2 linked regions of the Anolis sagrei genome follow. The protein of the gene in region 1 binds, or shares a complex with, the protein of each later gene. Links are inferred from orthologs where the notes say so. Each region holds a gene or a part of one and is shown on either strand. Other genes may lie near its edges. The genes, in order: RASIP1 and RAP1B.

Region 1 (15,404 bases):
TGTGGATATACGGAGAATCACTGCAGCAAATCACTGCAACAGTTCTGTTCTTGGTCCTGGCCAGAGAAACTGTGCCGTTCATATTTTTCATGAAGTATCTGCCACACAAAGCTTATGGGTTAGGACCACTTCTCAAACAGGAGCACACACTTTCAAGCCAGGAACAGAACTTTGCCATTATTGACACTTTTAAGAGCCTGGCTGACTGGTCACCTGCCCAGACAGATTTGGTTGTGTACTTGTGGCATCAAACAGCAGGGTGCTGTTCCTGGGTTATACGTGGCTATTCCTGATCGCTCTTCTTGTGAAAAGATGTGCAACATTGACTCGTGGGCCACAACTTCGTCCTGGCCACAGAAAATGTGCCCTCCACACGTGTCAAGAAGTACCTGGAACAAAAACAAAGTTTTTGCCTTCTACTCAAGTGTCACCCTTTTAGGAACCAACCAATCAGGAACAAACATCTAAAACCTGGGAACAAGCCCAGTTAAAAAACCTGTGATTTCCGATTACAGGGACATACAGACATGTGAAGATTCGCATATTTGGTTAAAAACTGCAATATTCCCACACCTGGAATGCTCACATGTTTTGCCTTTTGTAGCAATTGCTTCAGCGTTTACAGGGAATGGCGCTTGGCCACTCTCCTATTTGCTGCGGAAGCTCCTGGGATAAAGGAACTGTCTGGATGGGCTCCTAGACTGCATTGTTAATAATCTCTCAATTCACTTCCATATCATTTCAAGGGTGACTCAAAGGCTAAAATTTGTTGAAAATGTTGTAACCGTGTGTTATAATTTGGAGGTGGGGGAGTATTTCTCTTTAAATTCCTGTACAAACAATAGCTGTGTTCACTACAAAGAAAATTCAGAACCTATATGAATGCACAATTATGCTGATAACTCTTATCTTCAGTAGGTAGTGCTCAATTTCATAGGGAAATAACACAATACTGTAATCTAAGCACTGAGAATAAAATGGTCTGAATATCCTTGGGCAGATGGGGCAAATATCTCAATAGGGCACAGTTTTTGTTGTTGTAGATCTCTGGTATTTATAAAGTATCCAAACAATGTTCTGCTCTTCTCCACACTCGCATGTTGTGGACTCCACTTTGTGGCCCCATTTCTTAAGTTTGACTCTGCATCTCGTGATGCCAGAACACAGTCTGTTCAGTACCTTCCAAGTCGCCCAGTCTTATGTGTCCCCAGGAGGGAGTTTTTTCCTCAGGTCTCAGCCACTGATTGAGGTTCCGGGTTTCAAGCAGCCACTTTTGAACTGCTTCCTGAGGTGTTCCTGCGAGTATCTCTGTAGATCTTAGAAAGCTGTTTCTTGATTTGAGGCATTGGTAGTCTTATGTGTGCCCAGGAGGGAGTTTATGATTCCCAGTTGTGCCAGGCAGCTTTCATATGACATTATTTCTCGCACCCAATTTTGCTGATAGTCAAGCAGTGTTTCTTGTAAGTCAAAGCATGGTTCAGGGTAACTCACAGGTATTTTGGTGTGCTTCAATGCTCTAGTGGGATTCCTTCCCACTGGAGCATTGAACGTGGTTGAATGTTTTGTAGATAAGAAGATATTGTAACTGCTCAGCTAAAGATACAGGTTGGATTGGCCTAGAAAAGCATTGCCATTTCTTAATCTTGTAATATCTTTTGGGGCAATTTTCCACCAGAAAAATTGGTAGATATCACTCAGATACAGAGTTCCAACATTTTCTAAAAAGCAAGAGTGGGTGGCTGGGATTGTTCTGGGGTTTTTTGTGGCAGTTCTTCTGAATGAGTTTTCTTTCTCTGCCTCACAGAAATGCAGAAAGTTTTTGCAGCTGAAGACTTCTCCAAGCTGAAGAAAAAACAAGGCGACTATCTCACAGCTCCATTTGACCCACGTTTTCCAAACACCAACCAAACTCGTAACTGTTATCAGAATTATTTGGGTGAGTTTTAAAAGAGGATAGATGCATTGCAGTGAATGAATTTTATTTGTGATGTTGAACTGTTTCTGTTATATTTTGGAGGGACATGATAACAATGGTAACAATGATCATACAAGCTTAAGTATTTTTCCCTCCAGCTTTGTATGTTATTTACACATAGAGTCTTGCTTATCCAACCTTTGCTCATCCAGCGTTCTGTATTCTCCAATGCAGTCTGCCTCCTGCCGAGATCCACAGCTGTTTCAATACATTGCGATGTTTTGGTGCTACATTCGTAAATACAGTAATTACTACATACACTTACCGTATATTCAACTACTTTTTCTGTCGTTTTGTTGTAAAACATGATGTTTTGGTGCTTAATTTGTAAAACCATAACATAATTTGACGCTTAATAGGCTTTTCCTTAATCCCTCCTTATTATACAACATTTTCGCTTCTCCAGCATTCTGTCGGCCCATTTATGTTGGATAAGCGAGACTCTACTTTAACTCTGAATCTGCAGCATGCCTGACAAACAACTAATTAAATGCAATACTAAATTATTTCATTCAAGAAAGAAGGATGCAACCTGACAGCAAGGGTTATATTTTGAGTCACTTCAGGATTGCAACTGTGGCCCTCCAAATGTGTCTGGACCACAGCACCTATATCTTCTCATCATTAGTGATACAGGCTGGAATGATGGGAGCTGTAGGCAGAACACTTCTGGACACCCAATTGACCATCCTTGTCATTCTTGAATGCTCTCATCTTGAGCTCCCATCATACTTCCTTGGAAGTAAGTCCTGTTGAACATAATGGGACTTCTGAGTAAACATGGGTAGGACCAGTGTCTCAGGAGCCAAAGCAAAATAGGGTCAGATGTCATTCTACTTCAGCCATATTTCCTTGGTAGATTAAGAGTGAAATATTGGAAAGTATTCTTGGTTAGCTTGATTTTCAGTGGAGAGAGAGAAGGGTATTCCTGGCTATGCACGACACAGATGCCATAACTGAGAAGCTCATTAAACACAGCTATGAAGCAGATTAAGCACATTAAACAAATATTAAATGACTCAGTTTAGGCAGACACTGACAGCACTTCAAAAGATGTTATGACGTCGCTTCTCCTTCTTCCTTACAGATTATTACCGATGTGTGAAGATTATGAAAGCCAAAGGAAAGGACACTGCAGTATGTGAGTGGTACCACAGGGTTTACAAGTCCCTATGTCCAATTTCTTGGGTACGTGACATTTGAATTCCTAAGCAAGCATTGCAAAAAGAGTCAAGCAGCACACTGGTATTAAATGTGAAATCTGAAGCTATTTATTTATTTATTTATTTATTAGAATATGTCTATCTTGCTCTCAAACATGATATCAGGGAAGCATTTTAAAAAAGGATTTGAAATAATTCCAGATTTAAAAATAATTTGGATAAAATAAAGTTTTAAGAAAAACCAAAACAAAGTTTCAAACTATCCCCTATGTATATCTAGTTAGCACATACTCATATTAGAGTAAAGAACATGCTGTTTTGCTACAAATGATGCATGCAGCATAACATATGGATTGCTCCCCCCCCCCCCCCCGCCCCCCAATCTCATGGCTAGGCAGCACCTCCTGACTTCAGACCAAGTGGGGCTCTGCTGGGATGATGCTTGACAGGGAAGTCAGAGGTAATGCTTTGCCGGCCCCAAAGAGACAGGCACTGTTTGTTTTGCCTTTTCAGCAATGAGGGCCCCAATTAGACATTTTTTTAAAAAAAATGTGGTTTGCCATCCACTGATTTGAACCTCCCCACTCCTCAATGCCACCTTGATCCAGATAGACACACTGAAAAAAATACTCCCCCTCTTGAAACTATAGATTAAAAAAAAAACAACACATTACAGCCTTTAAAAAGCTCTTTCACTGTTAAAATGATCATGTGTCATGTGTTCCTACAGCACCCAAATAAAGATAGTCACTGTTTTCTTTTTCTTGTGTAGTCAACCCCAGACACAACTTGAAGACACACAACTATATAGGGATTGTGTGGGAGGGAAAAGAATATAATGTGATTTATTTTGCTGTGGATCCATATGTCTTGCTTCCTCTCTTAAGGTGCCCAACTTCCTGTCTGCTTTCCCTTTCTGCAGGTAAAGCGCTGGGATGAGCAGCGTGCACAGGGAACTTTTGCTGGCAAAATATGAATCTCCCAGTCCTCTTCATCTAAAATGGAGATACCCTTGGAAAGTCCTCACAATGGCTATTATTACAACCCTATGATTCTATTCTAACCCCGTCTAGATTGATCAACCAAGCTGTGAATTGTTTCAGCAGATTGAATTATTCAGATATGTTTGTGAACTTATTTTTTAAAACCTACCAATAAAAATTGTAAAGAAAATTAAGAGAAAAATCATTTCTAATATTTATTACTGAAAATATAAAAATGCAACATTTTCATTCCCTATTTCCTAATGCCTTACTATCAAGAATTTTTTTTATTCTTCTATGAGCCTTTATATATAATAAACAGAAAAAAGTAAAAAAAATATTTTTTATGTTTAATACACACACACACATACATACATGTATACATAATTTTCTTAATTAATGCTAAAATTTGTCTATTTGTTTTATTTGTCTATGTCTAAGTCATTCAAATAAAAATGAATTATAAAAGAAACAAGTAATATAACTAAACCATACAAAGGTTAATATTAAAATTGAAATAAGCTACTCATAATATATTTCAAAAATTAAAAATAAGGGATTTAAACACAGTTAAGAAACAATTCAATAAAAACAGTGAAGCTCCCTTAACTCTAAGGGTTTATTGGATTTTTTTTTTTAAAAAAATGGATGTAGCAAATGCACGCCCAGTAGACACCCGAAGTAATGAATACAAAAGGTGTGAAGTCAAGGCATAAACACAACTCCCCTGCCCACGCCCAAAGATGCTGGCACAGAACACAAGGGTGTGAGGGAAATGAATGCTCACGTACTGAGCAGGTACACACCTAAAATCCTGGCTGGGGTCGGGGAAAGTGACTGAACACACCCTGCAAGGACAACTGAAAAAGAGCAAGTGTGCCTATAAAGAAGAGTGTGGCAAAGGGAAAACAAGTCTCTTCCTAGAATAATGATTGAGGAAACAGGTGTAGGAAATACAGTTATGCACATGTAGTATTCAGAGGCCTGGCAGCAAGCACAAGGTTACTACTCCCTGACCTCCGCAGTACACTACTGTGCATACTGCCACCTCGAGTGCTGCTGAGTGTCCCACTACGGCTTTACCGAGGATTTTCTTCTGTTTGAGGGCTAGCCAGTCTGAGTTTAGTTTAAAGATAAATAATAATTATCTTAAGGGGCAGCATGTTGTAGTGATTTGAATATTGGATTATGACTCCAAGAAAGCAGGGTTCAAACCCACAATCCGTCATGGAAACCCACTGGGGGACTTTTCAGCAAGTTATTTTCTCTCACTTCATGGCAGGCAATAGCCAGCCTCCAATATACATCTTGCTTGCCAAGAAAACCCTAGAATAGAATCACCAACATGCAGTATATGTTAAACTAAGGTTTTGAGCTGTTCATCCAAGGAATTGATTAACTGGTTGACTTGGGATATCTGGAGTTGATGTTTAGGAAATGTGGAGTTGATGTGGGGATTCTGAAACTGACCGTTTGGTTGGCCGTACATTATGCCTGCCAGCTGTGATTCCATTGAGTGTACAATTCAATAGACGAAAATCAATTGAAAAACAAGCCTTATTCTCACTAATGGGACTAGTGTGAAACAACTCTCTGATGGACAACATTTTAGAGCAGGCATCCACAAACTTTTGCCCTGCAGTTGTTTGGCCCTCCAACTCCCAGAAGACCTAGCCAGCTTGTTTAATGGCCAGGAATTCTTGGAGTTGGAGGTCCAAACAGCTGGAGGGCCTCAGCTTAAAGATGCCTGTTCTATGGTGTATACACATTATCCATTTATAGCAGTTTTATGCCCATGGACACACCTCTATCAGACAAAATCTTGGCACATATAATTTGGTGAGAATTATCTGCTAGAAAGCTCCAGTGCAGAGAATCTAAATTCTTTCAAACTACAAATAATACTAATTTGTCTATGATAGTAGAAATGATATCAATATGCTATAAATTGTGTTTATTAGAATGCCTAACAATTTTACAAACCTGCCACAGAGATCCACTATCATTGTCCACACTAGGATCAACGCTGTAACTATTTCTTTCATCATATCAGTATCACCAGCTAATATGGGCACGAGATAGGCACATTTTACTGCATAGCCTCTTTTCAGCCAGTAATAGGAACCGGATACTAACAAGAATAGGATTCAGCCATAGGTATGCCACCTCAAGTACTGCTTTTTGGAACAGAGTCTTGCCAGCTGATTGAAAATAATTGATGTTTTTAGCATAAGTTCTCCTGGACTCATTGCTGAGCCTGGAACCTCAGGTTGCGGTGGTGGCTAGGGGGGCTTTATTAAAACTTGTATGCCAGTTGCACCTGTACCTTGGAAAGTCAGACGGCCATGGTAGTCCACGCTCTTGTTACCTCTAGGATATACTACTGCAACGAGTTCTATGTGGGGTTGCCTTTGAAGACTGTTCAGAAGCTTCAAACAGTCCAACGAGAGGCAGCCAGGTTAATAACTGGGTTGGCATACAGGGAGCACACAACTCCCATGTTGTGTCAGGTCCACTGGTTTGCTACCAAGCCCAATTCAAAGTCCTGGCTGTGGCCTATGAAGCCCTAAATGGCCCCGGCGCAATCTACCCATCTGAATGCATCTCCCTCTATGAACCATCGCAGAGATTAAGATCTTCCAGGGAGGCCCCACTCTCGGTCCTGCCACCATCACAGGCATAATTGACAGGGATGATGGAGAAGGTCTTCTCAATGATCACCCTACAGCTATGGAACTCCCTCCCTGGTGAGATTAGATCAGCCCCCCCCCCCCCCCAACCTCCTGTCCTTCAGAAAGATGGTAAAAACTTGGCTATGGGACCAAACCTTTGGGACAGTGCAATAAGGCAACGATAGCAAATTTTACCCTTCTGATCAGATTCAGTATGGAAGATCTGAGATGGTTTTAAACAATTGATTTTAAAGTGGAGATAACTGATTTTAGTGTTTATGTATATTTATAGTTTATTTTATGTTCCGGCATTGAATGTTTGCCGTATATATGTTGTGCTCTGGCCTGAGTCCCCTTTGGGGTGAGAAGGGCAGAATATAAATGCTTTAAATAAATAAGTAAATAAATGTTTTTAGCATAAGAAGTTAAGAATGCTGAACCTGCTTGTTAACACCATTACCTAGCTTCTGCTAGAGTAGTAAGAATGTTGGCAAGTTTTTTTGAGGGCAAATGTTGGCAACAGCAGAAAGATGAGTCAGTCCAGGCAGGTCTTTCCCATGGTTCCTCCAAGGCCAGCCAAATTATTGTGTCTGTACGCCTAAGTATTTGGCAACTGTAGTATGAAGTGTCAAGGAACCAACTTCTAATTGTTTAAATCCACCCCTTCCCCATCTCAGTTTTACTGCCAGGGATTTCCTGGCCCTGCATCTATTAGTTCAGATGTCTTCGCCTTTCTGTCCCATTCCCCCCCCCCCAGTTCTTGGGAGAGGCCCTGCTTCCCAGCCAGTTTCCTGCTCCCCCCATCTCCTTTTCCTGCCCCACCTCCTGTGTGTGAATGACCAGAGGAAATCCGTGCGCAGTCATCGCCGGACTTAAGTCACACAGCGCACACAAGAACGCCCTAGCAGAGACTGGCCACCGTATCCTAGAGAAGAAGAAGATGGAGCCTGGCTGGCTGTAGGATGCATGAGAGAGAGTAACATCTGGAGACTGCACCAGCTAGGACTCCCTTTGGAGCAGGTAACAATGCTAAACCTATAGCTGTATGCATGTACCAATAATCCTGTAGATTGATACGCAGAATTCAAAACTGGGAATGGACATCAAACAGGTGGTAAAATGGGCATGGATATGTGTGTATTTTCACCCCTCTTCCCCACATCTCAAAGGCAACTCAAGGAGATCTGGTCTAAGCCATCCTTCTCATCTTGTCTTTTGCTTCCTCTTATAAACCCAGCAATCCTAGCTCTTTGCTTGTCTGTGTGCAGATTCATTAGATCCCATTCCACAGAATCGAAAGCTTATTCCTTCCTGCCTTCTCTTCCTATTCTGTGCTACCACCTCAAAGAACTATTCTAGAAGGACCAGAAAGCTGGTAGAATGGGAGGAACAGACACCAAAACCCTTTTGGAGGGAAACATAAATTTCTAATTGGCTCTGAGCTCAATGTAAGGCAAAGCAAGAATTTCTGCTTCAATGGGTAGCTTGGGGTCATACCATTACAAAACAGTATATTGAAGATAGTTGGTTTACCACCTGTGTAGGATAACGTTGTATTGCATTATTAATATTAATTTTAAAATCTAAATGCAAAACAAGGGGATGGGGGGGGGAGCAGGAAGAGAAGAGGGTGGGGCTATAAACGCATAGAATATGAATGTTGACTAGGCCTAGTATGTTAATATGAATTAACCATGTGGGCAAAAATACATTGACCTGGAGTTGACACTCATACAATAAGTGTCATGAATGGCTAAACCACTAGGTTCTTCTTCTCATAGACAGTGATGGGAGTGAATATTTGACTTCCCAATTTTGGATCATGAGTACGTTAATCAGTAAGAACACAAAGATCCAACCCTGTTGATCATGTTCCATCTTTAAGAACCAAGGAATTGAAGGGGTGCCTCTCTGAGGTGAGGCTCCAGCTATCCTGACTCTTATCTCATCTTTTTCCTGTTGACGTCATGGTTTGACTCAGAGATTCTGACTCACCCCCTCGTGGCCAGAGCAGACATTTAGCTTTGATCTCACTTTTAAGTCTATAATGCAGGAATGCTGTACTTTTGTACAGAATACATAAAGAACAATGGGCAAGGGATAGTTCCAAGGGTTCCCTTGGAAATTGGTGGGATTTGGATTTTAATACAAGGAATAATAATAATAATAATAATAATAATAATAATAATAATAATAATAATCTGTGATCAGTCTTGTAAAGTGCATATATTCATTTGGTCAAAGGCTTGTTGAAAACTATATCTTCAATTGTGTACAGAAGGCTTGGAGAGTGGGGGCTAGTCTGATCTCCCTTGAGAGGGCATTCCAAAGCCGGGGGGCCACCACCAAGAAGACCCTCTCTCTCGTCTCCACCAACTGTACTTGAGATGGGGGTGGGACCAAGAGTAGGGCCTCCCTGATAAAACTTAGTGCCCGTGCTGGCTCATAGAAAGAGATGCAGTCTCAAAGATAGGTTGAACGCGAAGCTATAGAGCTTTATAGGTAATAAACTACATTTTGAAAGGACCTTGAGCAAAATAAGAGTGTGAAGGATATATTAACATGGGCCTTAAGCAGTTGAGACTCTTTCCTTTGCTACCCAAGATGGCACCCCTCCATTCCATTGACAGTTTCTGTATATGGAATGGAAGATGGAAGCCCAGATATTCCTGGAATCAGTATCTATTAAGAATTGACCTTTTGTGTTCTCTCTTTCACTTTTCCTCTCAAAGGTTCTTGGTCCCTGTGGCCATGTTTTCAGATGAGCGGAAGGACGGGAGCCCCCGCTTTGGGAAGCTTCACTTTCCTGTTGGCCTTTGGATCAACTCCCCAAAGAAACATTTTGCCAAGCTGGGACGCAGGTGGCCAAGCGTGGGGTCGGTCAAGTAAGTGCTTCTCTTCGCCTGGAAGCCCAAGCAACTAGCTTCATGTCAAGCCTTGTTTTCAGTTTTTGATAAACTTATATTTTTGAACTAAATGTCCTTGTTAATTTTTATCATCCTTAATACATACGTCCAGGGTTCTCTTCTCTTTGATGGGAATTTCAGTTATTTCTTCATTGCTGAAGCTTTTAACATTTCACAGATGGCAACCAGGACATAATGTGGCCAAGCAATATCAGAGTGTAGTCAAGATAGCCAAAGTTATTAATAAGGAAACACACAAGCAAAGAGAAGCTCCAGCCATTTGCTGTTGACCGAGTCTATTGGGAAGGCCATGATTTCACCCTTTCCTCTGCTCCTGCATGCAAACTATTTTTACACTTTGAACTCAGTTAAAGTAAGTTTGCAACAAAGATGAAAAGTTGAAGGGACAGAGAAAAGCTAGGACATTTTTAAAAGGGGGTGAGAAAAAAGACAAGCATAATAAATTGGAGCTTTTCTTGTCAAATTGGGACCTTTTTGTACAGATTTATGATTTATTTCTCTAAACTTATTTACATATTTCAGAGAATGGTTAATTTCACATTTATAGAACTCTGATTGGTGCACTGTAGTTTTGGTTTGAAATCAAGCCTACTTCTGTGCTGTCAAAGGCTTTAATGGCCTGGTTGTGAAGTCTCACAACCTCTGAAGATGCTTATCATAGATGTGGGTGAAACGTCAGGAGAGAATACTTCTGGAACATGGCCACACAGCTGGAAAACTCACAACAACCAAGCCTACTTCTTCTAGCATTTCTGTCTTCTTCACAGGTCAACATCCTCAGATACAGCCAGCCGTGGCAGTGAATCCGTGGAGATGCGGCCAGCCACCAAGAATAAGGCCAGTCGACATAAGAGGCTGTCAACACTCTTCCAGAGAGGAGGAACAGGAGGCCCAACCAGTGGAACTGCAGGCCGCTGGGCCAGTGAGAAGAAACTGGCTGACCTCATTGATCCTTTGCCTGAAGACCGAGTCGAGCCCCCATCCCAAGGAGAAGTGCCAGGAATCCTGAAGATCTATGGTGGAGACATCTCCTCAGGTGCCAATTACAAGAGTGTCTTGGCCACTGTGCGCTCCACCGCTCGCCAGCTGGTGAGAGAGGCACTGGAGCGCTATGGTGTGGCACAGGCCAATGCTGAAGATGCCTACGTGTTGTGTGATGTTGTCGGCAGTGTTCATAGCACAGATGGCACCTGGCAGGCCCAGCACCTCCGAGCAGTGGGTGACTCCGAACGGCCCCTCGTACTGCAGGATGTGTGGAAACCCAAGACTGGTTGCACCCGTCGTTTTGAAATCCGGCGGCGATGTGATGTGGAGAGAATGATAGAAGGCGAGGATGACGATGCAGGTATGTTGTGCTTGAGATATCCCAAATGGGACTTTCCCCCCACCCCGTGATAGATCTTGTCCAGAACTTAGAAAGGTTACTTTTTACAACCACAACTCCTAGAATCCCCAAGACAGCATGGCTAGGAGCTATAGTCTCAAAATGAAATTTCCAAATTCTGTTCTGGTGTTCCACTGTAAAGATACCAAAAATCTTCCGGTGCTTTGCTTCCATGGGCAGTGGGAAGAAAATGAAGGATAGTCTTCTTGTCTTTATGGTAGTGAGGAAGAGTTACCAAGAATTGAAGTCTTTCCATGCCCAATGCATAACGAACTTGGAGAAATTATTTAATGCATATGCTTTTATTATGGTTGTTTTTTGGCATCTAATTGTTATATAGGTAATATATAAGCCGCCTTGAGTCCCTTACGGGGTTGAGAAGGGCAGGGTATAAATACAGTAAATAAATAAATAAATGGGTCTTTCAGTGGCAATTCCACATGAAAGCTATGAAATTGAATATCTATAGTCAGAGGTGCATATGGTGATATACCAAAAGCTGCAGACAAGCAATAGGGCAGGTGTGTGGATATCTAGCCAACAGGTGGATAGACTTCCCCAAGCCCTAGCTCTGGGCAATTCAATGATGTCAGGATGCCAGCACGATTACATCCCAACATTGAGCCATGCCCTCACCTACTGATATAATGCACAAAGCTGAAGCTCCAGTTGAAGTTTTCCCACTGGGCATTTCAGCCAAGGACCTGGAAAAGGGAGGAGTATGTGAAGCGAGAAAAGGAAGCTCCATTAATTGGAGACTATGAGAATTTCTTGCAGAATAGTCTCAAGGACTTTTAGGAGGGGATGGAGGGCATCTGTTAGAATAATAATAATAATAATAATAATAATAATAATAATAATCTTTATTTATACCCCGCCACCATCTCCCCAACGGGGACTTGGGGCGGCTTACATGAGGCCAAGCCCAAACAACAAATTACAATAAAATAAGATACAAGTGACAATAAAATAAACAACATCACAGTAAAATACATAACATATGACTAAAATAAACAAAATACAAAAAAGAGCAGTAAACCAAACATAATGACAGTGAGCGGGCCGCCTGTACATAAAATGATTTAAAAACTCAGGGTGAGATAAAGGAGCAGAATTATTTGTAAGAACTCATAGAGAGATGGGGTGATAGACCGACCTTTGAACAAGGGGGGTGTACTCCAAGGACAAAAACATTAGTCTTGTTATTCTCCTTACCCTAGACTAGGGAACACTAATCACTTCCATGTGGTGTCTCAGAAGATCATGGATGGAGAGAGAATGATGATCTTTTGCCTATGATCTTTTGCACAATGCAACTGAATTATTCTTACCTTGATCTAATGCAGTGATTCTCAACCTGTGGGTCCCCAGATGTTTTGGCCTTCAATTCCCAGAATAGCTGATAAACTGGTTATGATTTCTGGGAGTAGTAGGCCAAAACACCCGGGGACCCAAAGGTTGAGAAATGCAAACACAAAAGTATCCTGTGACTGTTCTATAGTACAGAGCTGGTGAAAGTTGTTTTGGATTGCAGTTTTCCCTATGTAAGTTCTGGGAGCCATCCACTTGTACCTTCATCTTCTTAGGCGATCCTTCGTAGTCCGAGGATGATGGTCCTCCAAGTGTAGTGTCCTGGCAGTGGGTCCGTAGGTGACTGTAGAGCCCTATTCTTGATCTGCATCATCTCCCACAGTGAGGGCATTGGTTTCCAGATGGAAGGCGGTCCCGGTTGGGGTTGGCTTGACACACTTTCCTCTTGGCATGTTTCTCTCTTTCGCCCTCCATTCATGCCTCTTCAAATTCTACAGCTCTGCTGGTCACAGCTGACCTCCATTTGTACAAACACTATATGTCCCTTCATCTCTGCCTTTCCGTGGCCGTTACGTAATATTGTATAACCTTTCCCATGACCTGAATTTGATGATCACAGAGGGTTGAGATAACTTTTTAACATGAAAATTTCTGTTTCTTCTCTAGTTCACCTTATATTTAAATACTTTCCTTCTCTATTCCTCTCCATCTCCCAAAGGTGGCAATTCCCAGAATCGTCGGCAACAATCCCGCCGCTCTCGGGCAGCTTCAGGAGGCCATGCAGCCCCCAAAGAGAGGGCAGACAACCTCTCCCTCCGTCGCAGCATCAGTGAGATGAACCTCAGCATAAAACGCCGCAAGGACCGCAAAGGTGTGCTCAGCATGGCCGTAGGAGAACCCGCAGAAGGGAGTCCCTCTGAGGAGTCACGGCTCAAAGTAGCCGCGGATGGCACATCAGCTCCTCCAGCCTCCGAAGAAGAGGCCGTGGATGTGGCCAGTTTAGAGCAGCTCACCCAGTGCCTCATTCAGCCACCAACAGAACACCCTTATTTTTTACAGTTGTTGGGCTACAATGAAAAGCAGGCAAGTTTTTTCCTGTTTCAGTCTTGTGCCAGTTCACTGTGACAATATTTATATTTTAATTTGAAATATTTATGTACTTCCCTTTGCTGTGAGATCTCAAAATAGCATTCAACTGAGGCAATGCAAAAAAGCAATCAAAATAAAAACATAAAATAAATAGGACAAAGGTACATCATATAGATGAGTCAAAACAGTTTTTAAAAGCAAAAGTATAATAAAATAAAACAAAATCATATACATGTACATCAAAATGGAAAGAAATTAGACTACACAGGTGTTAGCAAAAAGCTGTATTTTAACTTGGTCCCTAAAAGAAGACAGTTTGCACCAAGTGGACCTCCAAGGGAAGGGAACTCCATAAATTGGGGGCCATAGCAGAAAAAGTCCACACTCACATCACCATATAGTGTATTGTCACTAGTGGGACACAGATCTCCAATTGATCTCAGTCTTATATAGAGAGAAGCAGTCCTTCAAGTATCAACGTCCCAAACTGTTTATGGCTTTCAATCTGAGCCTCCTCAAAGAGGGTCCACACCACAGAATATCTTATTTCTTCCTTACCATGCTGTGTTTAGACAAGTAAATCTGTGTAAAAATGTACATTGGAAGGTCATTTTAATGTGAAAACCACTTTCCAGAAGCCCACATTTTTCTATGCGTGCAATAGTATTATTATTTGTGAAATACCCAAACATTTTCCATACACACAGAAAAACCTGGTCTTGACAAACAGTTCAAGACATGCAAATACTGACTGAGAGCTATAAAGAAATACTGTATTCCCATCACAAACACACACACAAAATGGGGAGAAAACTACATATTATTTGTCCTCATATGCACTGAAGAGATTATTTAATATTTACACTTCTTGTCACAATTGCTTACCATTTCTTCTCTGCCTCCTTCAAATCTCTCCTTCCTCTCTTCACAGGAGTTTGTGATCCATGTGATGACACGTCGGCGACACATATTTGGACGTCCTGAACGCCGCCAGGCCTCAGACCAATCCAACTATGTGGACACATTCCTGAGTGCCCCAGACATTCTGCCACGCCATTGCTGCGTGGTGTCTTCGGTGCCCCCCGCAGATCCCAGCCAGCCCCGGGGTTCTGCCATGGTGCGGCCTTTCCGTGGAGCATCCATCACACACAATGGTGCCCCACTCCATCGCCAGGTGGAGCTGGCCCCTGGAGACTTGCTAGGGATGGGGCAGCACTTCCTCTTCATGTATAAGGACCCACGGGCTGCAGCCGTGCCACCTGCCTGGTTGCCCAAAGCGTGGGTGTCCCCAGGGTTGGTAGGGGCCTTGGCATGCCAGGCTTGTGGCCGTTCCCTGCAGGAACGGCAAGAGGCGTTTCGGGCCTATCTGAAGAGCCGAGAACCTCAACTGCGCTATCGGCCCCAAGAGCAGGAGGCTCTCTTGGCTGAAATTGTGAGGCTTCAGGAGACTCCTGGATGCAAGCTGGGCCCTGCTTTTCTCTTTGGGCTGTGTCTGGAGCATGCTGCCAGGGAACTAGAACCAGGACATCTCCCCAGATTGATAGCCAGGATTGCTCAGCTGGTCAAAGAGGCTGTTTGGGTAAATAATGTTTATACCGATTCAGAACAATTCAGAACCATTCCCTTCTTTTAGGACAACTCTTACTCTCCACATTCCCTTACGATGCACTCTATTAAAGTCTGCATGCATGTCCATGATATAAATTTGATATTTGACAATGACATTTGTGCTGTCTTTTTAAAAAATAAATACAAGACACTAAACTTTATGGTTGTGGGCAAAACAGTGCTCTTGTTCCTCCCCTCATGCTTTCAGTTATGTCTTTAAAAAATATATCAGAACAGAAGAATACAAACGAAAGAAGATATGTCTAATCTTCTGATTGAACAATGTAGGCTT
Region 2 (16,277 bases), on another chromosome or scaffold:
ATGGTTTGGGTCCAGGTTACCTACAAGATAATCTTCTCCTGCACAATCTCCCTTTAGGACACGAGGTCCTCTGATGGACAGCTACTTCAGCCAGGCAGAACTGACTGGTGACTGTCACCCAGAGGGCCTTTTCATCAGCCACTCCACAACTGTGGAATGACCTGTTGGAAGAGATCTGACAGCTAAACAAGGTGTCGGAATTTAATATGCAATTGAAGACCCATCTCTTCTGGCAGCCTACCCAGTCAGCTTTCAATCATGAGTTTCATTTTACGTTATATCGCTACTATATGTCAATTCTGTATCTATGTTTGATACATAGCTATATATTTGTGTTTTTATCTTTGTAGTTTATTATATTTTTATGTTCATATATTTTTTAATTTGTTGTACCCCACCTCAAGCCATTTGGAGAAGTGGGTAATATATAAAGTGTATAATAATAATAATAATAATAATAATAATAATAATGGAGAAAAGATCTCCCACTTATAGAAAGATTTCTGCCTACAGAAGGGGTTCTTTCTTAAGGAATTTTTTTTTCATGTATGGATTCTCATTCTATTCAGAGGAAAGAAACAAGGTTTACAATCATGCATTAATACTAAGGATTTTAATACCGAACAAAAGTTTGCTTCAAAGTATTTGTGGAGGGCTACATTAGTTCCATAAAAGCAATGGTATCTGCACTATTATCACCACTTTAGTCTAGTTTGCTCAAAGCAACAATTAATTAAATCTGAAATAAATAAAAAGAGGATTTTGATCAGTAGACTCTCCTGATCATCATCTATTTGCATCTTGGATTGTTTTTCACAACCTAGAGATATATGCAAAGAAAACCAGATTTCATGGCAGCATGTATTTTTAAAAAGTTAGGAGAAAGTGTTTTTGGAACACCACACTCGTATTTCTATCACCATAGTACAGAGAGTTTTTATTGATAAGTCAAAAGAAGTTGCCATTCTTCAAAAATAAACTGCTAAAGTATACACAATTTGTGCTCTATCCAACCCTCATGGTCAACAGATGACTGTTTATATCCACAATCATGCTCTACTGGCGCAATAACACAGCACAAAGTCAAGAAGAAACCAAAGAGGCCCTACTACTTTTTGTAAATTTTCAGTTGTTCACCAATTAATTAGGAAGGGGGTCAGATGCAGCTGTCATAATAACATTTCTCTACATGTCTTTATGACTAAAAAATAAACACAATATTGGATTTGCTTCTGAAACTTGGCTATGGGAAGAGACAAAATTTCAAGCCACGCAGGTCTTTAGAGTGTCAATGTAAAAAACATGCCCAGATAAGGAATGGGACAGAGTTCATGCTATATAAAGTATTAGACCTCAAAGGTCCACATGACTCTATTGTTCTTGATGCAACAAACTAATATGGCTATTTTTGGAAATAGCATTTGCCAACAGTTTTCTCCCTATTCGGAAAAAAAGTTTTCATGACCTCTACACTCTAAACCACTTCACATTTTTCCCTACTTTCAAGGTAATAACATCTGCAGAGCACTATAGTAATGAAGCCTCACGTGTATATTTGAGACAAACCTTATGATCGAAACAAACACAACTGCTGAATAGAAGTTCCAGACAGGCACTAGACACTACTATATCCTGACTTTCTAGACATGGGGCTAATTGCAAAAGCACCCCAAGGCCAGAATACTAAAAGGACAGCCACTCTCCCCACCAATTACAGGGTTTGACAATTTTCATTTCAGCCTTGTCTGGTTTCAGTTTAACACAGGAAGTTACTGAAATATTGAATTAGGGCAAGTTAACAGGAAACTGAAAAGGTATCAGCACAAGATTATGAAAAAGCTGCCAAATAAGAGATGCAGGCAAAACAGGATTTTAAATGACTGCTTATTGTACGGCATATGAGGAAACACTGAATGAGCTGGCTATGTTCAACTTAATACAGAGAAGACTGAAGGCTGACATGACTGCACTTTTTAAATACTTCAAGGGTTGTCACACAAGAGAGGGAGAAGGTCTATTTTTGCTGCCTTAGATGGTAGGACCACATCAAATGGTCTGAAGCTGCAGAAAAGTGGATTTCCATTGAACATTATAAGGAACTTCTTCACAGTAAGAGCAGTGCCTAGAGATGTGGTGGGGTCTCTTTTTCTTGATCTCTTTAAAAGGAGTCTGAACAGCTACCTGCTGAGGATGTTCAATCATGCATTGTTGGACTGGATGGCCCATGAAGCCCCTCCCTTCCAATACTATGACTCCAAGGATTTCCATTTTGAAAACTTCACTAGGCTACAAAGACCTGCACTCTTTATCATAATTTAGCACAAATGAATACTCACTGGTTTTAGTAATACTTGTGCAGAGCACTGCATTCGTGTCCAAGGCACTAGGGGCCCTTCCACACAGTCCTATATCCCAGAATATCAAGGTAGAAAATCCCACATCATTTGAATGTGGACTCAGATAACCCAGTTCAAAGGAGAAGCTGTGGGATTTTCTGCCTTAATATTCTGTGTGGAAGGGCCCTAACCATCTGCTATTTGATCTTGATTTTTGTAACAGGGACAAATGATACCCAGGTCCCTTCCATACAGCCCTATATTCCAGAATATCACAGCAGAAAATCCCACATTATCTGAGCGTGGACTCAAATAGCCCAGTTCAAAGCACATAGTGTGGGATTTTCCGCCTTGATATTCTGGGATATAGGGCTGTGTGGAAGGACCCCCAAAGATCTGTGATCAATTAAGTATTCTCTAACCATTTCATTATTGGTATAGTCCCTGCCCACCTGCATCTGAATCCAACCCAAGTGCTAGGACACTTAGGCCCCTTTCATACAGTGGAATAAAATTCCACATTATCTGCTTTGATCTGGAATATATGGCAGTGTGGACTAAGATAACCCAGTTCAAAGCAGATATTGTGGGATTTCCTGCCTTGGTATTCTGGGTTACCTCACTGTGTGGAAGGGCCCTGGAACTTAAGCAACCAGGACGCTCAAGCAAGTGGCAAAAATGAAGAAATACTTTAAATAAAATTTTAAATAGATGTATAATACAATAAAACTTCAAAAGGTAAATTAAAATTACATAATGCAGAAGCCAAGCAGTTTTTATAATACAGCAAAACTGAGTTACATTAAGTTTGTCTTGGGGCCCTTCCAGGCAGGCCCTATATCCCAGGATCTGATCCCAGGTTTTCTGCTTTAAACTGGGTTATATGAGTCCATACTGTCAGATAATTTGGGATATTTTATATTCTTATGTTTTTTACTGGATTGTTCTATTTTACTGTGCCCTATTTTAATTGTGCTTTTGTTTTAATGGATTGTTTTGCTTTTATGTCTTGTGGGCATTTTGACCCATATGTAAGCCGCCCTGAGTCCCTTCAGGGAGATGGTGGCAGAGGATATGAATAAAGTTATTATTATTAAACCAGGACTACCTGGTGGCGCAGCGGGTTAAACCACTGAGCTGCTGAACTTGGTGACTGAAAGGTTGGCAATTCAAATTCGGGGAGCGGGGTGAGCTCCCACTGTTAGGCCCAGCTTCTGCCAACCTAGCAGTTTGAAAACATTCAAATGTGAGTAGAATAATAGGCACTGCTTTTGGGGGAAAGTAACAACGCACCATGCAGTCATGCCGGCCACATGGCCTTGGAGGTGTCTATGGACAAGGCCGGCTCTTTGGCTTGGACATGGAGATGAGCACCATCCCCCAGAGTCGGACTTGATTAGATCTAATGTCAAGGTGAAACCTTTACCTTTTATTATTAAAACCTGGGATCAGATCATATATTTGAAAAAAATCTCTGAATATAAGGTCTGGGGACTTTCTGTTTAAAAATAAACAAAAGGTTAACTTTGCTAGAAATATGATTCATTGAAAAAAACACAGATCAAGGCCCCTTTTACCCTGCACTATATCCCAGGATCTGATCCCAGATTATCTGCTTTAAACTGAGGGTCCTTCTACACAGCCCCATGTCCCAGAATATCAAGGCAGAAAATCCCACATTATCTACTTTGAACTGGAATATATGGCAGTGTGGACTCAAATAGTCCAGTTCAAAGCAGATATAGTGGGATTTTCTGCCTTGATATTCTGGGATATAGATCCTAGATTATATAAATCTGCACTGTCAGATAATCTGGGATAAATAGAAAACCTGGGACCAGATCCTGGGATATAGGGCCTGTCTGGAAAGGCCCTAAATCTGCTTTCAATTAATACCATATTTCATTGTGAACACCCTATCAAGACTGCAAAGAGTTTATGAGGCACGCAGTATTAGTTAGGCTTATTTGTAATTTTAGAAACAACTCTCAAACAACCAGAAACTACATTTTTCCAGCACCAACCAATTCTCATGGGTGCTGGATAGCAAAGGGCCCTTCCAAACAGTCACATAACCCAGAATATCAAGACAGGAAATCCCACAGTATCTGCTTTGAACTGGATTATCTGAGTCCACACAGCCCTATATCCCAGAATATCAAGGCAGAAAATTGCACAATACCTGATTTTGAACGGGGTTACCTGAGTCCACACTGCTATATAACCCAGTTCAAAGCAGAAAATATGGGATTTTATTCAGCTGTGTTGAAGGGCCCAAAGAGTCTACTGTGATAATATTAGGGGAGAATGAAGGCTTTTCTACACAGTCCTATATCCCAGAATATCAAGGCAGAAAATCCCACAATACCTGATTTTGAACTGGGTTATCTGAGTCCACACTGCTATATAACCCAGTTCAAAGCAGAAAACGTGGGATTTTATTCAGCTGTGTGGAAGAGGCCAAAGAGTCTGCTGTTATAATATTAGCGGAGGATGAGGGCTTTTCTACACAGTCCTATATCCCAGAATATCAAGACAGAAAATCCCACAATATCTGCTTTGAACTGGGTTATCTTGAGTCCACACTTTGAACTGGGTTATCTTGAGTCCATATAACCCAGTTCAAAGCAGAAAATGTGGGGTTTTATTCAGCTGTGTGGAAGGGCCCAAAAAGGCTACTGTGATCATATTAGGGGAGAATGAGGGCTTTTCTAGACAGTCCTATATCCCAGAATATCAAGGCAGAAAATCCCAGAATATCTGCTTTGAACTGGGCTATGAGTCCACACAGCCTTATATCCCAGAATATCAACACAGAAAATCCCACAATATCTGCTTTGAACTGGGTTATCTGAGTCCACAGTGCTATATAACCCAGTTCAAAGCAGAAATTGTGAGATTTTATTCAGCTGAGTGGAAGGGCCCAAAGAGTCTACTATGATAATATTAGGGGAGGGCGAGGGCTTTTCTACACAGCCCTATATCCCAGAATATCGAGGCAGGAAATCCCACAATACCTGCTTTTGAACTGGGTTGTCTGAGAATATCTGCCTTGATATTCTGGAATCTAGGACTGTGTGGAAGGACCCCAAGACTCGATTAAAAAAAAACCGCATTATTCCCCCGAGGAGCTGAAGAACTGCTGCTGAAAGGCCGGTGTGGGCCGCCACCCCTTCCCTTCCCTTCAGCCTTTCAATGCGGCTCCTTGGTGGAGGGGCAGTTTCTCTGGCAGGAAAATAGGAAGCGGAAGAGGCCTATGGCAGAAGTGAGGAGCGGCCGCAGAGCTTCCCGCTGAGGCCGAGAATGGAAACAGGCGGGGCTGAGGGAGTCCGGCCGGCCGGCGAGAACTTTTTCCCCCGTTATAAGGCCCGGGTTCCCTCTCATTCCCCTCAGGGAGGGGGCTCCAACTTTTCCCCCTTCTCCAAGTTCTCCCGAGGAAGAGGAGGCGGCCATTGAAAGGGAGGAGGGGGAGGAGGGGGGAGCAGCCTTCGCCCGGCATCTCTCTCTCCACTGAGGGGAGCGGCCGGGCTCGGTTCCGCCTCCGCCATGTTCTCTCTCTCTCTCTCTCTCTGTGTCGCCTCAACCGCCTTCCTCTCTTCCTCGACTCCCCCTCCCTCCTCTCTCCTCTTCTCCACAGGCTCGCTTCTCCTCGGAGGCAGCATGGCGGCCTCGACTTACCGGACGGCGCTGCCGCTCCCCGCCGCCGCCGTCCTGGCCAAAGCTCCCTCGCCTTCTCTCTCTCTTGTCCCGCCCTCTTCCCCCTCCCTTCTGACTGGGCGAGGCTTGGAGCCGTTGCCGTGACGCTGCACGCGCAGCCTCGCGCTGGCTTCCCGTTTAGCGCTCGCGCACAGGAGGAAGGAGGAGGAAAGAGGGAGGGGCCACCTCTGCTCCAGTCGGAATGCGCATGCGCGGAGGGACTGCAGCCTTCTCTTCTGCCTTTCTCTCCCCTCCCGCCCACCCTCTGTTCCTGAGGCGAGCTCGCCGCTCGGAATGCGCATGCGCGGAAGAACTGCAGCCTTCTCGTCTGTCTCCCTCCCTCTTGGGGCGAGTTTTCTCCGCTCAGAATGCGCATGCGCGGAGGAACTGCAGCTCTTTCTTCCTCTTCTCCCTCTTTCTGTTCATTTATTCTTTTCTTTCTTCCTCTCGTAGGTCCCCCATTCGCTGCAGTAACCGCCCAGTTAAAGAAAAGGCGGCCGAGGAGGTGGAAAAGCCACTCCACAATTACACTACGCTGTTAAAGCGATATTGTTCCGCTTTTATTCATAGAATCATAAAGTTGGAAGAGACCTCATGGGCCATCCAGTCCAACCCCATTCTGCCAAGAAGCAGGAATATTGCATTCAAAGCACCCCTGACAGATGGCCATCCAGCTCTGCTTAAAAGCCTCCAAAGAAGGAGCCTCCACCACACTCCGGGGCAGAGAGTTCCACTGCTGAACGGCTCTCACAGTCAGGAAGTTCTTCCTCATGTTCAGATGGAATCTCCTCTCTTGTAGTTTGAAGCCATTGTTCCGCGTCCTAGTCTCCAGGGAAGCGGAAAACAAGCTTGCTCCCTCCTCCCTATGACTTCCTCTCATTGCTTGGCTGTCTCTTGTGGATTCCTGGGATTTGCAGTTTTAAGGGGATGAGGGGGGGGGGGCTTCTCGGCCAGAGAGGTCCTGAACTACATTTACACAAGGCATGGGTAATTTTCGGCCTTCCAGTTGTGTTGGACTACAACTTCCACAATTCCTAACAGCCGGTAGACAGTTAGGAATTGTGGGAGTTGAAGTCCAAAACACCTGGAGGGGCGAAGTTTGCCATGCCTGATCTACACTGTGGAATTAACGCTGCGTGGTGCCGCTTCAGCTGCCAATACTAAGGACTCCTAGGATTTGTAGTTCTTGCAAAACTACATAGAACTCCCTGGTTGACTCTGATCTAGGCCTACCTTTTGAGGCCTTTGTGACTATAAAGTGGGAAGGAAGAGCTGCCTTGACGGTAAAGGTGGGCTATATAGTTGACCTTCCTCATTTGTGGGTTATATTTTTGCAGATTGGTTATTTGTTGATTTTTTTTTCCGTGTGAGGAGCGGCTTGAGGAACTGAGAGAATTGGCCATCTGTACAGACATTGCCCAGGGGACGCCTAGATGTTTTTATCATCCTTGTGGGAGGCTTCTCTCATGTCCCTGCATGAGGAGCTGGAGCTGACAGAGGGAGCTCAACCCACTCTCCCCAGATTTGAACCTCTGACCTGTTGGTCAGCAGTCTTCTGGCACAAGGGTTTAACTCATTGCGCCACCAGACAGTTGATACGAATAATATGTTCCCTCCAGGAATCTCTTGGTCTTCCAGTGCATTTCTGTGGTCAATTTCCACCTGAAATTGACCATAAAATCGGACTGGAAAACCTAGAGATTGCTACAAGATGTTCTAGGTGACTATAGTAACTTCCTGTGAAAGTGATTCATTTAGCGTTGGTGGTTCAGTGGGTTAAACTGCTGACACGCTGAACTTGCTGACTGAAAGGTTAGTGGTTTGAATCCAGGGAGCGGGGTGAGTTCCTGCTGTTAGCCCCAGCTTCTGCCAAGCTAGCAGTTCAAAAGCATGCAAATGTGAGTAGATCAATAGGTACTGGTCCAGCGGGAACGTAATGGCGCTCCATGCAGTCATGCTGGTCACATAACCTTGGAGGTGTCCACGCAAAATGCTGGCTCCTTGGCTTAGAAACTGAGTCAGACACGGCTAGACTTAATGTCAGGGAAGCTTATTTATACTGCTTATGTTATTTGTTATTTTATATATTTTATTATGATGTATTCTTGCTGCTTTGTGTCTAATTATGTTGTATTATTTTGAGTTTGGCCTCATGTTAGCCGCCCCGAGTCCCCTTTGGGGAGATGGTGGTAGGTTATAAATAAAGTTTGTTATTGTTATTATTATTATTATTATTATTATTATTATTATTAACTTTTACCTTTACTATTATCTATAGTTTTCCGTTTCCACACTACGTTCAGGAATGTATTCCCCATAGATGTGGGTGTTGTACTGTAGTTTAATGTAATCTTAATTTTTGTATGGTTTCATTGTATTTTTTTTAATTGTAAGCTACTTTGAGCTCCAATTTTTTTTGGGGGGGGGGGGGGGAACAGGATACAAACAACAACAAACAATCCATTTTCCCCACACCATTGTGACAGTTGTTCTATATTCCTTTGTCTTGAATACTAACCCATCAAAGTTAACAATAACAAAAAAAACCCCTACTCAGATGTAAAACTTAATATCTTTTAGGCTCACATTGCAATTGTTTATATAAGGGACTGACTAAATATGCACAGGACTGTTTTGTTAAGCTCATTACAACAAACTGCTTCTCTTCCTGCCAGTGCAATTTAGGTCTGACTAACTTTAGATAAATTGGGTCTTGTGTAAAACTGGCAGGAAGTTGCAGTGGCAGTGACATTTGTAGGAAAGGGAGTGGTGGCAGAAAGAGAGACAAGTTCCTCACAATAAAAAACACTATGTTCTTTCCAAAGTGTCTTGCTATCTTTAGTTCATTTTGTGAAATTCTTGCAGCCTGCCCCTAAACATAGTTACTCCAGAGTAAGCTGGGCAAATAATAAAATGTACTTTTCTGCCAACTTGGTTAGAATAAAGCTAGTTGTCCATATAAATACTGCTGTAAGATAAAGGTAAAGGTTTTCCCTTATATTAAGTCCAGTTGTGTCCAACTCTGGGAGTTGGTGCTCATCTCCTTTTCTAAGCTGAAGAGCTGGCGTTGTCCATAGACACCTCCAAGGTCATGTGGCCAGCATGACTGCATGGAGCACTGTTACCTTCCCAACAAAGCAGTACCTATTGATCGACCCACATTTGCATGTTTTCAAACTGCTAGGTCGGCAGAAGCTGACGCTGACAACAGGAGCTCACCTCACTCCCCTTGTTTAGAGTTTTATGTGCACAAGTGTATAATAGAAGGCATGGACAGACTTCAGCCCTCCAGGTGTTTTGGACTTCAACTCCCACAATTCCTAAGAGTCGACCGGCTGTTAGGAATGGTGGGATTTGAAGTCCAAAACATCTGGAGGAACAAAGTCTGCCCATGCCTGGTATAAAGGCATGCAAAAGAACAAAGCCTCTGACAAATGGTGCATCTACACTGTAGAATTAATGCAATTGGACATCACTTTAACTGTGGAATTATAAGAATTGTTGTTTACAAGGTCTTTAGTCTTCCCTGTCAAAGAGTGCTGGTGCCTTACCAAATTACAACTCCCTTGGCAGTTAAAGTGATGTCAAACTGTATTAATACTGCAATGCAAATTTATTCAAAGAAGCCACTATTTTACTGCCTCAACCCTTTTCTAGGTTTTTAGCAATATTGGGGACTGGAGAAACATAATATTTCAGTGTCAGATAACAGAAACTTGTCTGCAATAAACAATGCAATGAAGCTCGAGGTGGAAAAATAGGACTCTACTCAAACCAGCATGGTGTAATGGTTTGAGTATTGGACTACAACTCTGGAGATCAGGGTTCAAATTTCCGCTCACACATGGAAACCTACTGAATGACTCTGAGCAAGTCACACTCTGTCAGCCTCAGAGGAAGTTAAAGGCAAACCTCTCTGATGAAATCTTGCCATGAATGGCTCAACTATCTTTTGTTGGTGAGCAATGAATGAATCAAGCCTCAGATTAAGACATGGCTCTCTTGTGATACGATACAATACAATATTTTTATTGATTAGCCCTTAGGCCATATCACAATACTAAACCAAACAACAACAACCCACTTTCCTAGTTCCAATAGACCTCACTACCTCTGAGGATGCTTGCCATAGATGCAGGCAAAACGTCAGGAGAAAATGCCTCTAGAACATTGCCATATAGCCCAAAAAAACCTACAACAATCCAGTGATTCCGGCGATGAAAGCCTTCGACAATACATACTTCAACTTTGTCTCTAATATTCTTCCCTCCAATGAGCAGTCGGGCTTTATTTCCTGAAGTATGGACTGTAAATACAGTAAATACGATAAAACTGAGTATATACATCATATTTCCTTATTACACCTATAATTTACCCCGATCACCCCACATATGTTCTCAAACGTATTGTTTTGCTTAAATACAGAGCTGTTTTATATGTTATTTTTGGGTCTTGGCCACACATAAAATGTGTTCTGATGTGAGATTCCCAATACATTGTCCATTTGGTATATGAACCAAGGTAGAAGTCGCTTGAGATAGGGAGTTAAGACCCAAGGATCAAAACACCCTTTCCCCATGTGTTCAGGACTTGCAACAAAGACTGTTCAAGGATGCATCTACACTATGGAGTTAATGCACTTTGAGTTAATACCATTTCAACTGCAGGGGCTCAATGCTATGGAGTCATGGGACGTGTAGTTTGATGAGGCACAGCATGCTTTGACAGAAGGCTAAAGGCCCTGTAAAACTACCATTCCCATGATTCCATAACACTGAGCTTTGGGAGTTAAAGTGGTGTCAAGACAGCATTAATTTTGTAGTATAATGCTCCCAGAGACACAAGGATAGGAGCAACCTTTAGTGACTCATTCCATAAATCAGGGAATTAGGCATTAAGAGATGAGAGTTTCAGATCTACTTGAGCGAGTGGAGAAATGGTCCCATTCATGGTTAGAAAACACATCCGCAGCAAAAGAGAAGGAATTCCTGGAACTCAGACCTACACTGCATGCTTCACAGGACAGTTACAACTAAGCCCTGATGTAGATAAGCATCAGACATAGAACAGGGCACATATTTTCTTCCCAGTGTCACAGAGTTCAGGAAGATCTATAGCCAGATGGATTAATTTTTGTTTAGCAGCAGAAGATCCTTGCTTCAAATCCCAGAATATATTGCCTGGATGGCATTCTGAAACCAATCTGGAGGAGGACAACATGGGCTGCAAACTTGGCACCTTCATGGACCAACCAGCTCTTGGTGGTCATCCTGCCTCTTCAGAGCCAATGTGCACAATAGCAATTCAGCAGGACTCCTTCCCCGACACCTGGCAGCAACACCCATCATAAAAATGCTGCTTGAATTACAATCCAAAGCTAGTAGAGACTCTTGGAAGGGTTGCTGCCTCTTGAATTCCCCATCCTCCTTGTTTGCCCCATTCAGAGTCCAAAGCAAGCCCATATTAGGATGAAGAACTGCTATCTAGCCTTGACAACAAAGAAAAAAATGGCACAGTTGATCAACATCCAGGATGGAGCTGCTCTTGAATAGGGAAAGACATGCTGAGTTTGCCAACAGTTCACTCCAGGAGTGGTGGTGTGCCAGTGAAAATGGCTCGGTAGGCAGCAGAGCAGCTCCATGATGCCAAGTCAGTCTTAGTCAAAAACATAGTTACTTGGAAAAGTTCCATTAAAAGGCAAGATAACAAGCAAGAACAAAAGTACTATTCATCAGGCTTTGTGGGGATAAAGTTACTATCACAATAAGGGTGACTACTACCCTAAACATTCAGTAAGATGTGATACTCTCATATATGCAGTCCCTGTCCACGAATATGCAGAATTAAATGTATCCATGTTAACTGAATATGTACCTATTTTTCAAACCTTCATGTGTGATTTATGGATAGTTGGGAAATTTTAATCCAATGAATGCTGTGTTATCCTCTCTTTAGAAACACTTTGGTGGGTTTTTAAAATATTTATACAAGACTAAACCACAATAGTTACAAATCATTATCTGTAGGAAGCTTGGTAGACTAGATACATCACAGATACATACTAGTTCTCTGGTTGAACTTCCTCTGTAGAATATCAAAAGCATCAACCAGAGGGAGCAGTTTTTGCTGAAGCATTGTTAATAACTACAGGTGTAGCCTTATTTATTTATTTAGCAAATTGACGGTACAGTTGTAATGTATTTAAAAACACAGAGTTAAAAACGAGGTATTATATTAGATTTCCTTTGATCAGAAGCTGGCCAATTGAAGTGCCTCTGGTGTTGCTGTAAGAAGGTGCTCCACTTGTGCATGTGGCATTGAAGTTGGTGGTCTGTGGTTTGCTCTTCTCCACACTTGCATGTCGTGGACTCCATTTTGTAGCCCCATTTCTTAAGTTTAGCTCTGTATCTTGTGGTGCCAGAGCGCAGTTCGTTCAGCGCTTTCCAAGTCACCCAGACTTCTGCGTGGCCAGAGGGGAGTTTCTCATCTGGTATCGGCCACTGATTGAGGTTCTGGGTTTTAATCTACCACTTTTGGACTCTTGCTTGTTGAGGTGTTCCTGTGAGTTCCTGCAAGATGTAGTCTAATGAAAAGATATAACAAGTAGGAGGGGTAGGTTTTTAAAATTACTGATCTTGGATATTCCTGGTTTCAAATAAGAAATGATTATTCATATGACACTTTATACTGCAAATATTTTCTATAATTACTTTATTATTTATTTTATTTATTTCAGACATTTATATCCTCTCCTACTCACCCCCAGAGGTGGACTCAGGGCAGCTTACAACTGGCAACCATTAGATGCCAACACCAATTAAACACAGTTAAATATTAATTAAACTTTAATAAATACATGTTTAAAATAGGAGCTTTCACCCTTGCTCTTGAACATTTTAAAACATTGAAAAGGGGTTGTGTGGTTTTCCTGATGTTGTTTTGTCCTGGGTTTATTCCTGGCATGACAGCTCTAATATTTTACAATCAGGACATGCAGAATTGAAAGCAGAATAAGAGGTAATCTTTATTGCTTCAGTCATCAAAGAAGGATGCCAGGGAGCATCCCAGATCTGACATGCCCTCCGTTTACACATACTGGTATTTTATGGCCATTCAAAAGAATAGGCATTGCTTCAATTGGTACAAATTGCTATCCAACGTTTCATTGGTTAGATGTACATTCATTGTTGTCATGTTTTACAGTGTGCGATTGGTAGATTAGGTCTAGCTGGAACTTTCTCGAAGTTTTTATTGGAGGAAAACCTCAGTTTGTCCCTTCTTCTGGCAGGGCCCTTCTGGTCAGGGAAATGGGAGCCAGTTAGGGGACAATGGAGGTATTGATTATTATCATTGTGGAATGGTCCTTAAGAAATGGGATTTTCTTGTTCCCTAGATGAAACAATAGGGAGAAGGGCTACAGTGATGGGTTTTGTGGTTGCTTTAGGTGGAATATATTATGTCCATATATGATCAGTTGCTGGTAGAGATGTTATTTTCTATCTCTTTATTCTTCAAAATTGGACTCAAGATAGCTCATGCATGTGTTAAACAAAATATGTGCATTAGAAATTAGTGGTAACAAAAAATTAAAACACAGTTAAATATAATACCATGTGGAGACATAAATATTTTAAGACAATAAAATAATTTCAAACCATGGCAAGAATAATTTTAAAATGTAACAACAATGCAGCACACACCTTCCATCAGAAAATTTTTATTTTTCACTAATAATGCACTACACTGTAGAATTAATATAGTTTTACATCACTTTAACTGTCATAGCTCAGTTCCTTTGAATCATGGAAGTTGTAGTTTTCCAAGGTCTTCACCTTACTTTGCCAAAGACGGCTGATGCCTCACCAAATTAAAACTCTCAGGGTTCCATAGCATTAAGCTATGACAATTAAAGTGGTGTCAAACTGCATTCATTCTGCAATGTAGATGCACCTTTAGTGACCAAATGCTTCTTTTCATAAAATCTTCACTTAAGTGGTAGAGAGTCCCATAGCCTGAGAACAACCACCAAAAACATGTGAAAAGCCTCATGTTTTCTATCATTTTTATGAACAGACAAAATGAATCCTACCATTCGGTAATGTTTGCTTGCTGGAAAAATATCTTCTGGGACTGACACTGAAAAGCTGCAATGAGTCATTCCACAGTTAAGGAATTACTATTTCATTCTTGGGGGGGGGGGGGGGTCCCTAACCTTCAGCAGGGAGGAGGGGTAAGAAAGCAGAGTGTCTCAATCCACCTTCTTCTTACCTAAGCCTGAATTTAGGTCAGTTTCCAGATGCAGAAAAAGTCCCTGAACGGGAAAGTATACTTCTTTTCTATTTTGTATCCCTTTTGACAAATTCCAGTAGTACAGCTTACATGGCTTTACAATTTAGCGTGGAAAAAAAAAGTTCCAGTGAACTATAGGTATCTTAAGCTTAAATTCCTCACAAGATACATTTTGAATCTAGCTCTCATAAGTCTTGACCTATAAAGCCCTATACGGTTCTGGCCCAACATACCTGTCCGAACGTATCTCCCTCTACGTCCCACCTCGGAGTTTAACATCCTCTGGGGAGGCCCTGCTCTTGGCCCCACCTTTGTCGCAAACGCGCTTGGCGGGGACGAGGGACAGGGCCTTCTTGGTGGTGGCCCGCCGCCTGTGGAATTTGCTCCCCAGCGAAATTAGGTTATCCACATCTCTCCTTTCCTTCACAAAGAAGTTAAAAATGTGGTTGTGGTACCAGGCCTTCGGGTAGCACGCTGACAATGACAATGGTAATTATAACAATTTGCTATGGAAATGGACTATGGACAAGCTTCTGATCGTCTCTGGTCACAGAATTTGGCTTAGATTAGGCCACCAGGATGTAATATTTTAAACAGCTTTAAATTGAATTGATTTAATGTTTTATTTATATGTAATTATTGTGTTTTATTATGTGTATATAGGGGCATCAAATCATTGCCGGCTGTAAGCTTCCCTGAGTCCCCCCCCCCCCCCCGGTTGAAAAGGGTGGGGTGTAAATATTTGAAATAAATAAATAAATAAGGCTGTGGGTGCAAAATTGTGACTTTGGGTGGGTGAGAATAAGGCCATGTGCCCTGAGAGAAGTAAAAACAGTTCAAAAATAACCCCATTGCTGACAGGCCCTTGATAGTTGGTAACTGTAATACTGAAGAAGAATATAATTTACTGGCTGTCCCTGGCCACACGTTGCTGTGGCCCAGTCTGGTTAAATGGAAAAGAAAGAAAAGAGAAAGAGCAGGTTTCTAATATATTTAATTTCACAATGCTTGTGGGTATACAGTATTTTTTTGTTGTTGTTCCATTGTCTGTGCAGATATAGAGACTGTCTGGTTTGCCGACTCTAGAACACGCAACATATAATTGTCCATGTGAGAAGCAATCCGTGACTAGATCTGAACCACACAATTCTAAAGATTGGCCCGAGCTTTGTTGATGGTGATTGCAAACGCCAATCGAATTGAGAATTGCAATCTCTTAAATCGAAATGGCATATACAATGGAATCATAGGAATGCGAGGAATGAGGACATCTTCAACCCAGAATATCAAGGCAGATAATCCAAAATGTCTGCTTTGTACTGGATTATATGTCGGTGTAGACTTAGGCCCCTTCCTTACAGCCATATAAGAACACCAAGGCTGATCATCCACAATGTCTGCTTTGAACTGTGTTATCTGAGTCCAGACTGCCATGTAACCCAGTTCAATGTGGATCATAAACTGCTGTGTAGAAGGGGCCTAAAGAAAGAAACAGGGTGCCTTAAGGAGACCCAGTGAAGTAAATAATAAATATACAGCATCATTCCTGAGGGTGGGGGTGGCATTGAAGGTGGGAAGGAGGGAGGAAGGCCTGCCCTCCTCAGATGAGACAATGATTGTCAGCGAGGGATTTTTTAAAGGGGAGGGGGCTTTGAAATTACGGAAACCCAACAGAGGGAGCAACAACAATAAACTATACTCATGAAATGAACGCTATAGTAAACGACATATGTCAATTCCAATGCAATGTCACATGAAACAATTAAATCAAAATGAAATGACATCAAGGTGTATGAAAATTCAATTTAGGAATGCATTCGGAAACATTAAAATAGAATCACGAAATATGCCGTATAGCATCCGTTGCTTTGATGTCCAACAGATCGTGCTGTTTTCCCCGAAAAGCATATGTTTACCTGTTACAGGTGTGACATCTATACAATAGTAGGTATGTAA

What was found.
Region 2: the proteins of RASIP1 (region 1) and RAP1B are in contact, whole or in part, in a crystal structure (PDB 5KHO), measured with the Homo sapiens proteins. The link is inferred for Anolis sagrei from reciprocal best matches to the Homo sapiens genes RASIP1 and RAP1B. Residues at the interface, in NP_060275.2 of Homo sapiens: Val147, Lys149, Ala156, Ser157, Gly158, Ala159, Asn160, Tyr161, Lys162, Ser163, Val164, Leu165, Glu181, Arg182; in NP_001010942.1 of Homo sapiens: Val24, Gln25, Asp33, Pro34, Thr35, Ile36, Glu37, Asp38, Ser39, Tyr40, Arg41, Glu54, Leu56, Phe64.

Annotation. Positions count from the first base shown.
Region 1 is NC_090026.1:18,470,306-18,485,709, reverse strand, and holds the start of RASIP1 (ras-interacting protein 1), read left to right. Parts: upstream 1-7,547; 5' UTR 7,548-7,813; intron 7,814-9,525; 5' UTR 9,526-9,544; coding exon 9,545-9,678; intron 9,679-10,487; coding exon 10,488-11,065; intron 11,066-13,133; coding exon 13,134-13,498; intron 13,499-14,435; coding exon 14,436-15,083; intron 15,084-15,404. Other genes in the region: COX6B2 (cytochrome c oxidase subunit 6B2), read left to right, coding at 1,807-1,936, 3,063-3,163, 4,061-4,114. UniProt on the Homo sapiens protein: Required for the proper formation of vascular structures that develop via both vasculogenesis and angiogenesis.
Region 2 is NC_090025.1:143,041,904-143,058,180, reverse strand, and holds the start of RAP1B (ras-related protein Rap-1b), read right to left. Parts: upstream 6,188-16,277; 5' UTR 6,015-6,187; intron 1-6,014. UniProt on the Homo sapiens protein: GTP-binding protein that possesses intrinsic GTPase activity. Contributes to the polarizing activity of KRIT1 and CDH5 in the establishment and maintenance of correct endothelial cell polarity and vascular lumen.